Rhinolophus ferrumequinum: one gene and its partner. The protein of the gene in region 1 binds, or shares a complex with, the protein of each later gene. Links are inferred from orthologs where the notes say so. Each region holds a gene or a part of one and is shown on either strand. Other genes may lie near its edges.

Evidence for each region.
Region 2: the proteins of SPINDOC (region 1) and SPIN1 are in contact, whole or in part, in a crystal structure (PDB 7CNA), measured with the Homo sapiens proteins. The link is inferred for Rhinolophus ferrumequinum from reciprocal best matches to the Homo sapiens genes SPINDOC and SPIN1. Residues at the interface, in NP_612480.1 of Homo sapiens: Phe256, Ala258, Pro259, Ala260, Val262, His264, Phe265, Thr266, Asp267, Ser269, Phe270, Pro271, Gly273, Phe274, Val275, Leu276, Gln277, Leu278, Phe279, Ser280; in NP_006708.2 of Homo sapiens: Met154, Thr169, Tyr170, Glu171, Pro174, Pro206, Val209, Val210, Leu213, Lys216, Gln217, Val218, Glu219, Tyr220, Thr229, Val232, Val242, Tyr243, Ile245, Phe247, Asp249, Asp250, Tyr254, Val255, Tyr256, Asp257, Leu258, Val259, Lys260, Thr261.

What each region holds. Positions count from the first base shown.
Region 1 is NC_046294.1:7,509,158-7,516,828, forward strand, and holds the start of SPINDOC (spindlin interactor and repressor of chromatin-binding protein), read right to left. Parts: upstream 3,007-7,671; 5' UTR 2,745-3,006; coding exon 2,618-2,744; intron 1-2,617. UniProt on the Homo sapiens protein: Chromatin protein that stabilizes SPIN1 and enhances its association with histone H3 trimethylated at both 'Lys-4' and 'Lys-9' (H3K4me3K9me3).
Region 2 is NC_046295.1:5,450,607-5,458,584, forward strand, and holds the start of SPIN1 (spindlin-1), read right to left. Parts: upstream 3,001-7,978; 5' UTR 2,896-3,000; intron 2,720-2,895; exon of another isoform or gene 2,590-2,719; intron 1-2,589. UniProt on the Homo sapiens protein: Chromatin reader that specifically recognizes and binds histone H3 both trimethylated at 'Lys-4' and 'Lys-9' (H3K4me3K9me3) and is involved in piRNA-mediated retrotransposon silencing during spermatogenesis.

The DNA.
Region 1 (7,671 bases):
AGGATTTTATTGGGGAAGGGGAACAGGACTTTACTGGGGAATAGTGTGTACTTCCAGGACTTTTTTCCAAGTCAAGTTGTTGTCCTTTCAATCTTAGTTGTAGAGGATGCCGTCCAGTTGCCGTTGCTAGTTGCAGGGGGCGCAGCCCACCATCCCTTTCAGGAGTCGAGGAATCGAACTGGCAACCTTGTGGTTGAGAGCCCACTGGCCCATGTGGGAATAGAACCGGCAGCCTTCGGCATTAGGAGCACGGAGCTCCAACCGCCTGAGCCACCGGGCCCGCCCCTCAAACCTCATCTTTTGATTGATCACTTTTTCCATCTTGATTTCTGTCACTTAGCTTCCAAGGTACCACCTTCTGTTGGGTCTTCTGTTGGGGCTTTTTTTCAGTCTCTGATGCTGGTTCATTTCCTTCCCTCATCATCTCTTCCCAGGTGCTTACACAACTCCCTCACCTTTTCTAGGCTGTTGCTAAAGAACTGTCTTCTCACTATGGCCTTCACCACCACCCTATAGAAAGCTGGCATCCGCCCCTCCACCGAGCACCCCGTTCCCCTTCACTGCTTCACTTCCTCCACAGCACACCTCACCACCTAACATAGCATGTGCTATATTTGTTCCTTGTGTCTCCCCACTACACTGTAGGCTCCATGACAGCATAGATTTTTGATCCTTCACACTTGTATCTCCAGCACCAAGAACAGTGCCCCACATGTAGTGGCTCAAAAATGTCTAACGAGGGCCTGACTCCATCTCCAACCTGGAATCACTGGAGCGTGCCATGACTCTGTCCTTGGACCCTCTCTCTGTCTAGCCTCTTCCTCTGATGGTCTTGTCCCATTGCCTGCTTGCTGATAACTCCCATATTTACACCTCCAGCCATGCTCTTCATGAGTCTAACTTCCTGTCTGACGTCTCCACTTGAATGTGTCACAGGCACCTCAAACTTGCCATGTTCCAGCCTGTACTCCCAATCTCCCCGCAAGCCTGCATCCAGGGCCTCTCTCCTCAGTAAGTGGGAAGCCCGTCCTTCCAGTTGCTCAGGCTAAAACCTTGAATTCATCCTTTCTCTCTCCCACCCAAATCTTCAAGAAGCTTCTTGCTTCAGGATCTTTGTACTTACGATTCTGTCTAAAATGCTTTTTATCCGGTCACCTATAAGGTTCACTCCTGTACTTCGAGTCTGCTCACATTTCACCTTTTTAGAGAAGTCTTTCCTGACCAGTCGATATTCCAAATAAGACTCATTCCACTCTTCTCCTTACTTTGCTTTACTGTTCTCCAAACCACTTATCGTCACCTGACACACTATGCATTTATTTGTCTGCCTTTAGTCATATATATACACAGTCATAAATATATATATATATATATTCCAGAAGAGCAGAGTTTCATCTTTGTTTATAGCCATTAGCGTGCCCAGCCTAAAACAGGGCCTGGAACACAGAAAGTATCCAGTAAGTATTATAGCTTCTCTGGACTTCTAGCTCCTCATCCCTAACAGTGGGGAAGAAGACTGCTCTTACAGGTTGTTGAAAGGCCTGAGACAGCTAGCGTCCAGCACTCAATAAATATCAGCAGAAGTAGGGACAGAATCTCTCTGTTGGACTGAAAGCTCAGAGAAGGGTGGCGCCTTGATTTCCCTCACTCGTTTTATAAACCGTCTGATTCGAAAAGAGTGAGCAGCAGTGTAGACAGACACGATGGTCCACTGAGGTAAAAGGAACAGCTTTCCTTTCAACCTCTCAGGTACTTTCCCTCCAAAGAGAAGAGGAATCTGGCAATGAAAGATATGTGCATTTTCAGGACTATCAAGTCTTCCATTAAGGTGGCCCTGTGCTTCCTTAAGGTTTGCAAGATTCTGAGGACTGAAGAAACTGGTCCAAGGGGAGGGGAAAGTGAGCGTTCCCAGACCATTCCTCAAATCCCCTCCCAAGGCCAATCTCGTTCTAGGGTGGCTGAGGGTCCCCCTACAAGCACTTCTTTTCCGAAACTGGGTGCCGTAAGCAATCCCATTCACCCCTGAAGATTCTGACACCTGTGGCTTGTGCAAGCCAAAGGCCCGGGAATGGAAGAGGGGCATGAAAGCTTTACGCCCGGGGCGAGGGTGGGAGAGGGGCTTAAAATCTCCTCTTGGCAGGAGGCAGCGGCGCCTGCCTCCACCCTCGGGAACCGCTCCGGACACCAGGCTGCAGCGCTCAGCCTCGGGCCTGGAGGCCTTGCCGCCCCTCGGCCTACAACACAGCCTGGCCCCTGGGCCTGCCTCAGCAGGATAGGAGACGACGGCCCCCGACACCCGGCGTTGCCCGGGATCCCACCGCCCAGGAGAGGAGGCCCAGGAGAGGGGGCGCTCGGGCACCGGAAGATCCGGAGCGCGCCGGGCGTGGATCGAAGGCTCCAGACCCTGGACAGGGGCGGGGGAGGGGGAATTCAGGGAGGCCTGAGATTCCAAACCCGAGTGGGGCGGAGCAAGAGCACGCCCGGGCCCAGACCGTCAGGGGAAGGGGGGCGCCGGGCACCAGACTCAAGGTGGGGAGGGGGTGCCCGGGCCCCTGACGGGGACTGGGGGGCGAGCCCGAGACCGTGACGCGGAAGTGGGGTCCCCTCCCATCCTCACCTCTGAGCATCGGCTCGGGCCGCGGAATTACCGCCACCACCATGGCCTCCTCCTCGTCCTCCCCTTCCTCGCATTTGAGCGTCACTTCGAAGCAGTCCAGCGCGGCGCCCTCGGCCTTCAGGGCCATGGTGCGGCCGGGGGGTATTTCGATGACCGGACGCTGGAGGACGAGCGCGCAGGCCTGGGCGCGCACTCGGCGGCCGCTCCCGCCCGCAGCCCCCTCCCCGTTGCCGGCCGCCCCGCGTTAGCCGGGCTGTGACGGGCGCGTCCGGGCCTCCCCGACACCAGGAGCGTCCGGACCCCGAGCGGGGAGGGCTTAATCCGGGGCCCCAGCCCCCCGCTGCTCCCTTTTATGGAGGCTCATTGTCGGCTCCCGCCCGGCCGGCCCGCCGCGGACCCGCCCCCGAACCCGGCTGGGCCAATCGCACGCGGCTCCGCCCGTTGCACGCGGCTCCGTTAGAATCCCAGGACCCGCGGGGCGGCGGGAAGGGCCGAGCTGGCTCCCGGCTGCCCTCCAGCGTGGAGGAGGGGATCGCGGGCCAGCGATAGGGGACCCCAGACTCCTCCAGGCGAGGTCATCCTGGGCCGAGCCCAGCGGGTCGAGCTCGTTGAGATGCCAATCAGGCATATTTTGGTGGCATGAAGAGCTTTGGATTGGGGTCGCTTTTGCCTTTCCCTGACCATGCCTTCCTCCGCCAGAAGATGCCCGAGGCTGGAGGGGGCGGTAGCGGGGGGGCCGTGAGGAAGTGGAAAGGGCCTTGGCGTGGGAAGAGTAGAGATGGAATTCCTCCCGAGTTGACAGCTCTGTGATCTTGGACACGTTATGTTTTCTTAGACTACTTCATTCTTTCTCTGAAAAAACATCGGGGAGCATTCTGGACAAGGGCATGCAAAAATGAAGAGTCGAGTGGAGGGTGGGCACAAGCAACCTACCCCTGATGTTTATAATTTCCAGTTTTTAAACGTGAGTGCAGAGATTGTGACTCTCCCTAAAGTTACACAGAAATCCTTGAGAGCTCGAAGTCTAGAGTCCAGTTGCCATGACACTGATGCATTACAATTCTACTGTGGCTGAGCTTTTGCCTTTGTGACACAGGTGGGCATCACCCTCTGTTGTAGAAGCCCTCCTGAGAGTTCAATTGAGAAAATGTCCGACACTGAAAATCCATCTTAAAATGATACTGGATCAGTAGTCACTGAATGATGGACAGTCGTGTGCCATATACAGTGGTCCCATAATGGTCCCATAAGATTAGCGCTTTCTGAAAAGAGTGACACCTTCTCAAGAGGAACCTCAGGCAGGTCCTTCAGGAAGTATTCCAGAAGAAGTCATTGTCATAGGAGATGGCAACTACTGGCCTGTTATTGCCCTTGAAGACCTTATTGTGGGACGAGGCGCCCAGGGAGAAGACGGTGATATTGATCCTGACCCTGTGTAGGCCTAGGTTAATGTGTGTGTCTGTGTCCTATTTTTAACAAGTTTAAAAAGTAAAAAAGAAAAATTTTAAATAGGGAAAAAAGCTTATAGAAGAAGGATATAAAGAAAATATCATTGGAAAAATATCTTTGTATAGCTGGACAATGTGGTTGTGTTTTAAACTAAGTGTTATTACAAAAGAGAAAAGCTGAAAAATTTAAAAGTTTATAAAGTAAAAAAGCTACAGTAAGCTAAGGTTAATTTAATATTAAAGAAAGGAAAAATATATTTTTAATAAACTTAGTGTAGCCTAAGTGTACAGTGTTTATAAAGTCTCCAGTAGTTTACAGTAAGGTCCTGGGCCTTCACATCTACTCACCTTTACCCACTGACTCACCCAGAGAAACTTCCAGTCCTAGTAAGTACCCTGTAGATAGGTGAACCATTTTTTACCTTTAATACGGTATTTTTACTGTACTTTTTCTATGTTTAGATACACACATATTTACCATTGTTTTACAATTGCCTACAGTACTTAGTACTGTACTTAGTACAAGAACGTGCCATACAGGTTAATAGCCCAGGAGCAGTAGGCTATCCCATAAGCCCAGGTGTGTAGCAGGCGGTACAGCCTCGGTTTGTGTAAGTGCGCTCGCTCTGTGATGTTTGCACGACGACGAGATCACCTAACAGTGAATTCCTCAGAACTTACAGGTTTGGATGGAACTTACGACAACACAGAGCAGGAAGTTGAGGCTTAAAGGGTTAAATTACTTGAGCAAGGTAATACAGCAAGAATCCTATTTCATCAAATCCAGGATGAACATTTCCCCTCACATTTGAACAGCTTTGAAACGGGGATTGTTTCTTTATGGACATCGATGTGAAGTTTTAGGAATATCAAGAAGTGTAAGATGGCCCTTCTGATATTCAGAAAGTGCAAATTGTGATTTATAAGAAGTACATATCTGGTCAAAATACAATCTTCATTTGTATGTGGTCTTTATCATTCCTGACTCCCAGCTCTCAAAACCCTTGGAATTTCCTAAGAGTTGCAACTGATGAATGTGTCTTTTGTGATGTGAATGAGGTGACTTTTGGACCCCACCCTAGGGTGGGGACTGGTTGCCAGTAGGAGGCAACCAGGTGGTTAGAGGATTGGAACTTCCAGTCTCACTCTCTGATTTTCTGGGAGGGCAGAGGGGCTTGAGGTTGACCCAATTGCCAATAACCAATGATTCAGTCAATTATTGACTATGTAATGAACCCTCCATTAAAACCTAAAAAGGACAGCTCAGCAGCCCTTTATCGGAGCTCTTCCATGTTGGGGAACCAGAACACTTCCAATTGGTACTGTGCAGGACCCAAGCTCCATGAGGACAGAAGTTCCTTTGGGACCTCACCCTATGTATCGCTTCATCTGGCTGTTGATGTATATCTTTTGTAATAAATCAGTAATCTAGTAAGTAAAATGGGTTTTCTTGAGTTCTGTGAGCCATTCTAGCAAATTAACCGAACCCAAGGAGGGGATCGTGGGAACCTCTGATTTACAGCTCATTGGTCAGAAGTACAGGTAACTTTCGATTAGTATCCTGAAGTGGAGAGGGTCATTGGAACATCCAATTTGTAGCCCAACTGGCATCTTCTGAGACTGTGCCTTTTACCTGTGGAATCTGATTCTACCTCTGGGTAGATAGTGTCAGGAGTTGAATTCTCATACACCCTGCTTCTTGGTATGGGGAAGCCAACACATGTACACACACTGGAGTCGGGTCTGGGAAGGATCCCATTCAGACATGATGTCACCAGCAGAACATAAACCATGCTTGGAATTTGGCGTCGATAAGGCTACTTCATGACCACAGAAATGACTTCACCTTTCTCAGTGATTGCTGCTGCTTTACCAAAGATCTCTCTAGCCCTGCTTGAATCCTGCCTGCTAAATAAACATTATAAAGATACCCAGTCCCTGAATTGCTCCTGCTGCTTAACAGTATTCAATCCAAAACTGGTCTCCACTGGCCTAATCCCTCCATGGAATCACGGAATGAAAGCCCAACTTTAAGCAGATACATGAAGGTTTGCTTAGGGTGCATCCTCCTTTACTGCAGCAAGTTAAATAAACCTTACTGTTTTTGACTACAGGTTTGTTTCTGGTGGTCTTTGATCAGAGGGCTTTGGCAGCCTTAACCAATTTATTTTGCTAACATTTTCATTTTTATTTATACGCAGAGTGATGTGTAATAAAAATCTATGTCAAAATATCAGTCTAACCGCTCTTTTAATAACCATAAAACACAATTCCAAAAGCTAGGAAATCACTGAGTCAGAATTTGGCAGCATTTTTTTCTTAGGGGTACATAAAATAATGGTTCATCTTGCAATCTGTGATGTTCTAGATTTAATGAAATGCGGTTAGTTGCAAAAGGAGGACTCAACTCCAGTTCTCTCTGTCCAGTCCTTGATCTTTCCACTATAGCACCACGCTGCCTCTTGCTGAGCTTTAAGTAGTTGTTAAATGAATGAAAGGATAGATATTACTAGCTCATATATACACAAAGAAACTGAATTTGAGAGAAACAAGTCATTTGAGATCAAAGGACTTGAAGTCACAGAGCAATTCTGTCCCTCTGTGAGGTGGGGCTCGTCTGTCACACCTGGTGCTGAGTGACCTCTCTGTGCCCAGCATCTGAAGGGGACTCCAGACTGTCTTAGACGGACTTATTATGAATTCCCATCCACTGGCTACATAGTGCTAAATGAGTACTTGTGGAAGGCCTTGGAATCTTAATTACTGAGATAGCCCCATGTGGAGGGAAGAGGGTACAGATCTGCCAGACAAGTATGTCTGTAACTCAACAAAACAAATTTGACCTTGAAATATGAGATTCCTAAAACAGGAAGGATGGACTGGAGATAGGAGAGGTGGGATGAATTACCTCTGTTTCAGCAATCAGTTGCTCGAGGCCACTCTCCATAATGTCCCCTGGGTTGGACGCCCAAGCTGGGATGAAACATTTCCTTTTGGTACAGCTTTTACTGTAGGAGGCATCTTAGGGCCTCAGTGATGAGACAGGATGGGGAGTGGGCTGCTGCAGGAAATAAGGCTAGACAAAGCTTGAAATGAGGAGAAGGTTGTTTGAAACCTAAGTGTGGGAGGGTGTCGCTTCACTCCTAGCTTACTTGGCATTTTGTAGTGGTCTACATAAGCCATAATAAATATATGCCCGTGCTCTTTAGCTCAGTAATCCTATTAACAAGAGTCTCCTTAAAATCATCCAAAAGAAGAAAAATAATGACCTAACAAAGATGTCATAGTAGTGTTCACTGCTTGAACTATTCATTCCCTAAAACTTAGTAGACTCGGACTCCTGGAGGAAATTTTATTCAGTTACATGTAGTCAGGGGGTCCCCTTCTCTTAGCTCTTGAGTCAGCTGGAACACCTCTGTTAAGAAACTCAGCACAGCATGCTGTAATTGCTTGTTTGCAGATCCCACACTTTGGGGATTTTGGTCAAACAAAACGGGATTTATTGGCTTATGGAATTCAAGAAAGGGCTGACTGTCCAATCGTGGGAAGGGCAGGGACACAGACAGGCTTTAGCAATAATGGGACTTAGGATGCTAATGCCACCAG
Region 2 (7,978 bases), on another chromosome or scaffold:
GCAAATTAAGGTCCTGCTAACAGCCAAACCAAAAGAAATATCCAACAGCATTATTTTTAATCTCTAAATAATCCACATGAGTAATTCCGGAAACAACAGTATCCTTTTCATGTATTTCTAACATCCCAGGAAAAAAATGCTAACAATTAAGGAATGTATCCAGGGAAGTTGTAACTGTGTAATCAGGTAAGTCATGGGGACATGAAAACACTGTAATTAAATTTCTTCTAGTTAAGACTTCAAATTAATAACTCTCATAATATCTCAATACAATAACAGTCAAATTTGAGGTACTACTTCCCATAAGTGTACAGTCACACACAAACCACAACAATCTCCCAGTTCACAATTAAAGGAGAAGTACCACTCATTATCTAAGATGCACTGTGGACACCCATGACCAACATTACCTAGACTTCATGGATGGATGTTAATAGACATTACACTAACAACAAAACAAAAAGGGATCTGGGGCCAAATATGGAAAACATTACTGCACTGTTTCTCTCAGGCCTTAATGTGCTAATGTGAATTGTGACCTTGGGGGGAGAAGAAAAGGACACAGCTTTGTTTCCCAAACTTATGTGACCCCTTTTCCTGTAGCATCTCTTAGAGCTACAGATGCTCCTCAATTTACAATGGGGTTACATCCCAAAGAACCCATCGTTAGGTTGAAAATATTGTAAATTGAAAACGCATTTAATACACCAATCGTACCAAACATCATGGCTTTGCCTGGCCTACCTTAAACGTGCTCAGAACACTTACATTAGCCTTTAGCTAGGCCGTTAGGTTAGGCAATTACTCATGAGTAACTGCCTTCCTCATCTTCTAACCAGAAACAGGACGCACAAGATAGGTGTTTCGTAAACATGATGGGATGCAAAAACCCAAAACACAATATCCAAGAATCACTGGCAACACAGTCCACAGTGGAGTACTGGTTGTGATCACAGGCCTGACTGGGAGCTGTGGCTCACCGCCCAGCATCACCCGAGTATGGTGCTGTATATCACTAGATGGGGAAGAGATCAAACTTCAACATCTGTAGTCCGGTTTCTACTGAATGCATATTGTATTCACACCATCGTAAAGTCGAAAAATCGTAAGTGGGATGTCTGTTGTGTCACAAATAATGCCACCTTAAGCAACACAGTTTTGGATTCTAAAACTAAGTAAATATTGTTACCGTATTCTGAGTCGGTAATTAAAGGTACTGCCAGAAACAGTCTTAGCGGAATTCCTGGGATCATCGAAAGTCTTAAAAATCCTAAATTAAACAAAGAGATGACTAAAGGCCCTTTTTCCTTACCCATTTCACAGCATTTTAACAGTAACCATTTCACTACTCAAAAGATTAGAAATTCTACTTTGTTTCTTACAAGAAACTACCAATAATTTTGAAACATACTGTCCTATCTTACATATAATCAAGACTGATAATAAACGTTCTGTAAATTAGTAGCTACAATGTTTTGGTGTTTGCCCATTAACTAGGGCTGGGGGAGGGGAGTTGAGAGAAGCCTCCCTCATTTCACTTGAACCCCAACTGAAATTTCACAAAAGTTCAGTCTCTAAGACTGTTCACAAGCTCAATGTGTTCTAGTATACACACCCAGTACAGGTTTAATTTTCACTTCCTAACAAAAGCTACGTAGAAAGTAATTACTGTACTCTCTATCAATCCTTTCCAACTGCAGAGTTCCTTCCAGAAAATTCCAACAGAATAAAGTTATATAGGTATTCGCATTTTGGTAGGTATGTCGTCTTTGGCAGAAATCACGTTACGTAGTGTAAGCCTTTAAAACACTGAGATGTATTGTGTTGCTTTTTGATATGTAGCTAAACAATCCTCCTTTGCCACTTCAACATGCAGGAAAAACCATCTCCAAAACCCGGAATTCCATCCCACAAGTCAAAGAAAGCAAATAAATATGAAACAACTGCGCAAACAGACTTGGGATGCCTATTTCGTGGCATTTACTGCGGAAGCCGTCACTAAAACCCAGTCTGGTAATGTGGGGGTCGCACCCCCAGTGGAGAGGCGGGCAGAACAGAACCAAAGGCACTGCGCAGTTTCCGTGTCGTGCGATTCATCTCCACAAACGCTGCGGAATGCGCTCAAGGTCATAGTGAGAGAAAAAGTGTGTGTGTGAGTGCGCAGACCCCGCCACCCGCCCGTCTCGCGGAAGGAGCCTAGGGTGAAGGGTGCCGCAAGAAAAATGGGGCTGTGGGCGTCACGGGGAACGCCAAAGCAAAGCCCACCGCGAGGACAGGAGGGCAGCGCTGGGCTGTAGGGGCCCATCCACAGAACTCCTTCCCTTCTCTCCCTGGGGTCACAACCCTGTCCCTCCCCTAGCACAGTGTCCCGCACTGCCTCGCCCCCGCCCCGGGAGACCCGTCCTCTCCTCTCCCTCCCCACGTCTTTCCTTCTCTCCTTCCTTCCTTCCTCTCCTCCCTCCCTCCAAGCCCTCCAACCCCCCTCCCGCGCCCCGGGGGACGCCTACCCTCCCCCTCTCTCCAGCCCCTCCCACGCCCATAGGGTCCCGTTCCCCTTCCCCAGCCCAGCCTGGGTTACACAACACTCACCCCGCCCGCCCCCGCTGGCACCCGCCGCAACGATCCCCCCCCCTCGCCCCGGGATCGCGCAGCCGCGGCGTCCGGAACAAAGCGCGCGGTGCGGCCGAGCCGGGGGCGGCGGCCATGTTGGCGGGGGCGGCGAACAAAGGCGTGCGGCCCGAGGCCCCCACCCACGGCCCGGCCGGCAGGGGGCGCTGTGCAGGCGCCGCCCGGACAATGAGCCGCGGCCCGTCGCTCCCCGGGCGCCACCGCCCCTCATCGAGCCCAACGCGCCCCCCTCACGGCGCCCTCTCCCCCACGACGCACGTGCCTCACCTGCCGGCCACCGAGGCCGCTGTCCGCAGCCTGCGGGGCCCGCCGTCCCGCGCCGCGCTCCCGCCCCGACCGAGCCAGACGGCGCCGCCCCGCCCCCGCTCCGCCGCCGCCACCGCCGCCGCCGCCCGCCCCCGGCCGCACGGCGCACGCGCACTACGCGGGCCGACTGCGCCGGCTGCGCGGTTCGACCCCGGCCCGAAGGGCTGCACTGCGCAGGCGCTGCAGGCAATGGGCGGGGCCTGGCGCTGCTCACCTGGCCGCAGGGTGGGCGGGGCAGGACTGAGTTCTGCAGGGTCTGGCCGGCGACGGGGCAAGGCCTGGTGGGCAATGGAACGGAGCCTGGCGCGGCTCACCTGGAGGTGGGGCGGGCGGAGAAGGACTGAGAGGGCCGGGACCTGGCGGGTGACGGCGCGGAGTCTGGTGGGGCGGGGCCTGGAGCTGCTTTCACCTGGTGGCGGGGTAGGCGAGCATGGCCGCCAGGCTCCAGGTGCTTTCCGGGAAAGGGCGGTGTTCAGGGCGCGTAGTCCCAGGAGCCTAGGTGGACTAGACTGGCGCCGGAAGTTAGGCCTCCAGGGAAGTTTCGTTTTCGCTCATTGGGAGGCCTTTAACCAGCCCTCCTTGTCCTTGCATTGAAGCAGCAAGTTGTTCTGCGGCGCTCACGCTGCCCGCAGGATGAGGCCAGACACCTTGGCAACGGCGTCCTCGGGCTGAGCCGTGCTATCCACCGCGGGCCCGCTTCCCACGCGGACTCCGCGGTGGCCCGGACCCAAGCTGCACCTTCTCACTGCCCTACCTGGCGGATGGGTGGTCTGGGATGCTTCTGCAAGACCTGACGTCCTCCCAGTGGCCGGCCCCTACCGCAAACGGGAGTACTGGCCGGGCTCACCTGAGATCAGGAGCCAGGCGTACGCGCATCAACTTATTTGACTTTGCTTCATCCTAAAAGCCCTTTGAGCGTTAGGGTGGGTGTTTGCAGGATAGAGAGGAAGGAACAGTTTTGACTCTTGCGGGATTGAGTGGGGGACCTGGAGGCTGAATCCCGGTTCTGAACCCCAACCCCTGCCCGGTGCTCTCCCCTTTCCCCAACTTGCCCCACTTCCAACCTAGGCTCTCCCCTTCCTCCCAACAACCCTCCCTCCAGCTCCCACTAGCCGGTGTTCTCCACGTGGTTCCTCAAGTGCGAAAGCACAGCCATAACAATACACCGCCTCCCCAAGTGTTGTCAGTGTAAATGACAAGACTTATTATTAGAAAGCACTTTGTACACTCTAACCTGCAGCACGCCTGTTTGCAATACTCTGGAATTTCACTAGCACTCTTTTCCAAATAAGATTGGTACGTGCCTGCTCAAACTGATCATGTCAGATAAGCAGTGGCAGGCACGGGAAGTTCATAGGCCAACTAGAGGGCCAGTTTAGATACAGACGTATAAAAGTGAATCATCGTACTTAGCAGTTAGGAAGTATTGGGAAATTGTTACTTTTGTTTGTACGTTTAATGCTGATGCCCCAGAAGGTAGTGGAGCATTTCAGGAACAAGGAGGAATGGTGCCAAGGAGCTGGTTGGAACACTTCAGTGGCTCCCTGGGTTTTTCCACCTCACCACTATTGACATTTGGGGCCAGATAATTCTTCTTCAAGGGGAATGTTTGACAGCATCGCTGCCCTCCTCCCTCTAGATGCCAGCAGTACACCCACTCCCCCAACAGTACCACAACCAAAAATGTCTCCAGAAAAAGCCGAATGTGTTGTGTCATTGTCCCCTGCCCCCTCTCTGAGAACCCCTGGTTTAAATGTTGCCTCTAGTGATGGTCCCTGAAGCTATCAAGGCGGGGGAGCTCAGCCAGCCCTATGTCAGAAAAGGACACGCTCTCCAGAGGACAACTACCAGTTCTGCTAGTAGTATCTCAACTGCCCTCTGCAGCCTTGCTCATTAGCATACCGACTGTCAAAAATGGGTTTTTACGTCACCCATGTGTATCTGCCAAAAATCTTTAAAATGAATCTAGTCATCACTGGGTAAAAATCAGACATCCAGATTGAGGTACATTCTGCAAAACAGCTCCACCAAACTCTTCGAAAAGCCAATACAGTAGTACATCGGTTTTCGAATGTCTCCATTGACGAACATTTCAGTTTACGAACACCCTAAACCCAGAAGTAAATGCTTCGGTTTTCGAACACGTCTCAGAAGTGAAACATGTCACACGACTTCCACTGAGTTCAAGATCCTGAGGCCTAGCTGTCGGCTGTTTTCGAACGTTTCAGAACTCTAATGGTCTTCTGGAACGGATTACATTCAAAAACCGAGGTCTCACTGTATCAAGAAAAGCTAGGGAATCACTCCAAACATAGTAGGAGACCACCAACAAATCATCACGTGACCCTTCATCATACACCAGGTTGAAGGAAAGAAGTTATGAAAGAGATTCCAGGGACAATTGGAGAACTTTGGAGTAATATTAGAGTCTTATTAAATCATAATTAAAGGTTTCAGTGTGGTGATGGCTATTACTGAGCATGCCTTGTTATTAGCAGATATGTGCTGAATTATTTAAAGTCAAGCTGTGGTGGCTACAACTTCCTTTCAAATGGCTCAGAAACAGGTGTGTTTTCTATAGAGATAAGCATATAGAGCAAAATGGTAACAACTGGGGATCTAGACAATGGTATATGTGTATTCATTGTACAATTTTTTTCAACTTTTCTGAAAAGCTAATTTTTTTCAAAATAAGCTGGAAAAGTGGAATTCAAGTTATTTCATGAATTGCTAGAATGCTCAGTAAGCCGCATTGCTTCAGCTTCACAGGCTGCCCCTGCTCTCTTCCAACTTGCTGACCAAACATTTCCAGAAACTTAAATATACAGAGGGTGCCAAAAAGTGTATACACACTTTAAGAAAGGAAAACTATTAAAATTTTAATACTGTATACTGATAACAAAAGATGAATACAAGTCACGTTTGACTTCTGCAATTACAAGAGGTGCCCAAAGTGGTTACCATCAGCGTCCAGACACTTCTGATTATGGCAAACTACTGCTTCAGCAACGTTGACCAAAGTGTTCACTTGTATACATTTTTTTGGCACCCCCAATATAGTTCATTTCTTTACAATTTCTCAATCACATTTGACTTCTGGATTTTAGGTCTGCGTGGCCTACGTCTATTTTCTTCCTGCAGGAAGGAATTTATATTTGCTTATAGCTATAGTAGGGTCGATGCTTCTTTTAATGCTGTGTCCCTGGGTTCCTACTTGGGAATATGAGAATTTCTGCCCCAGAGATGAATATGTTTGTTAACCTAAAAATAAATGGCCAAAGTGAGGCAACGAGCATGTATTTGAGATCCAAAAGAATAGCCATTGGAGAAGTACTGATTCAGGCAGAAACCCAAATAGTGTTCAGGTTAGGAGGCAGAGGCAAAGGGCTATTTATAAGAAAGGGAAGGGGATCAATTACATCAATAGAAGGAAGGCATTTCTATAGGGGCAGATAAGCTAAATTAGTGATGCTAAATCTAAAGAATGTTTCTAATTTTCAGTCCAGTAGTCATAATAACTGCTTTCTGGTTGTTTTTGCAAACAGTTGTTTGGGATATAACGTTGCTTTAGGCCCAGTCCAAAGGATATTTTGCCCTGTTTTAACATTCCAAAGGGTTGAGGCAAAGACTGCAAGGCAGTTCTGGAATGGCAGCTCAACTCCATTTTAAAGTGGCTCCATTTAGTATTTTTCTTACACATTTGTGATGTGGGAGTGGAGCGAACTCAGACCCTCGGTGAACCCTGGTATATCTACCCTACTGACATGATGTGATACTTGGAAACCAATCCTTTTCAAATTAGTTACATAATTATTCAATTAATGCAACACAGCAGAAAGTATTCAGAATCCAGTGTATACCCCTTACATAGGGATATTTCTTTGTATTGGCTTAACCTCTAGGTGGATGAGCTTGGTGGGCATGCTCTCTCCCCAGTGCTGCCTGGGTCACCCCGAGTTGGTCCCACAGCCTGGTCACAGGCAGTGGGGGCAAAGTCACTGAAATGGAAGTGTTCAGGGTTTTTACACGGGGAACACATTGACCCTCATGGATGGGGCTCATGCTGGCTCTCCCACTCCCACCTGTGACTATATGTTTGTGGCTACACTGATGAAGCAGTCCGAACATGTGACTCCCGATAAGATGGTGGGCACACTAGGACAGAGGCAGCTCTTCTCTGATCAGGCGCTGGGCCAGATCTCTCTGATTGACAGCCATGTTGGTACACACTCTACAGGACGAAGTACAAGATCCAGAGCCTTCCTGGATGGCCAGCAGTAGGACCAGAAAGAGGGGAAGGGGTAAGGAGACCTCAGGAAGGGCAGAGTCAGCTGTGCCTGGAACCCCTCCACTCCTGGCTACAGGAGGCTGGAATTGGTGACAGTAGATTTTCCAAGCCTCTCATCACCCTTTGTCATCTTATCTTTTATCACCCTTGCAGAGGACAGATCCTTTGATTCCTTTCCCTGCTGTATCTCTACTGCCTAGGATAGAGCCTGGGAAGAGAAGGGGTTCATTAATGACTCTACAGAAGAATCTTTGTGGTCTCTAGATGGCTTCCCCAGGTTTGCGTCACAACATAAATGCTAAAGTTATTCTTCTAGGGGAAGTAACCGTTTAGGTAAAACAATCAGGTTCCCACCCTAAGATGCTAATGCTGGCCCTGGAGAAGCCACACCCAGTTCTAAGCCCAGCCCTCTGTCTTCTGACCCCTTCCCCACTCCCCCAATTCCCTCTCTAGGGTCCACCTCATCTAGGGTATGAGTCCCCTCCTTTCCCATTCAGAATGGAAGGGGTCTGGCCACCTAGATTCCATGGAAGCCGCAGGTCAGGTAGACCCCACACTAAAGTGTCTTCCTGTTGAAGCGGGAGGGAACTGGCCTGCTGCAACTCTCTCTGCTTGGATGTCTGGCAGCAGTGGGATTAGAAGTGTCAAAGAGGGCCACTTTTCTCTCTGGAATCCTGTCTCTCAGAAGGTACTCTCTCCACACTCATTTTTGGCTTGATACTTTGTTCCTGGAACCTTAGCAAAATCACAAATGAG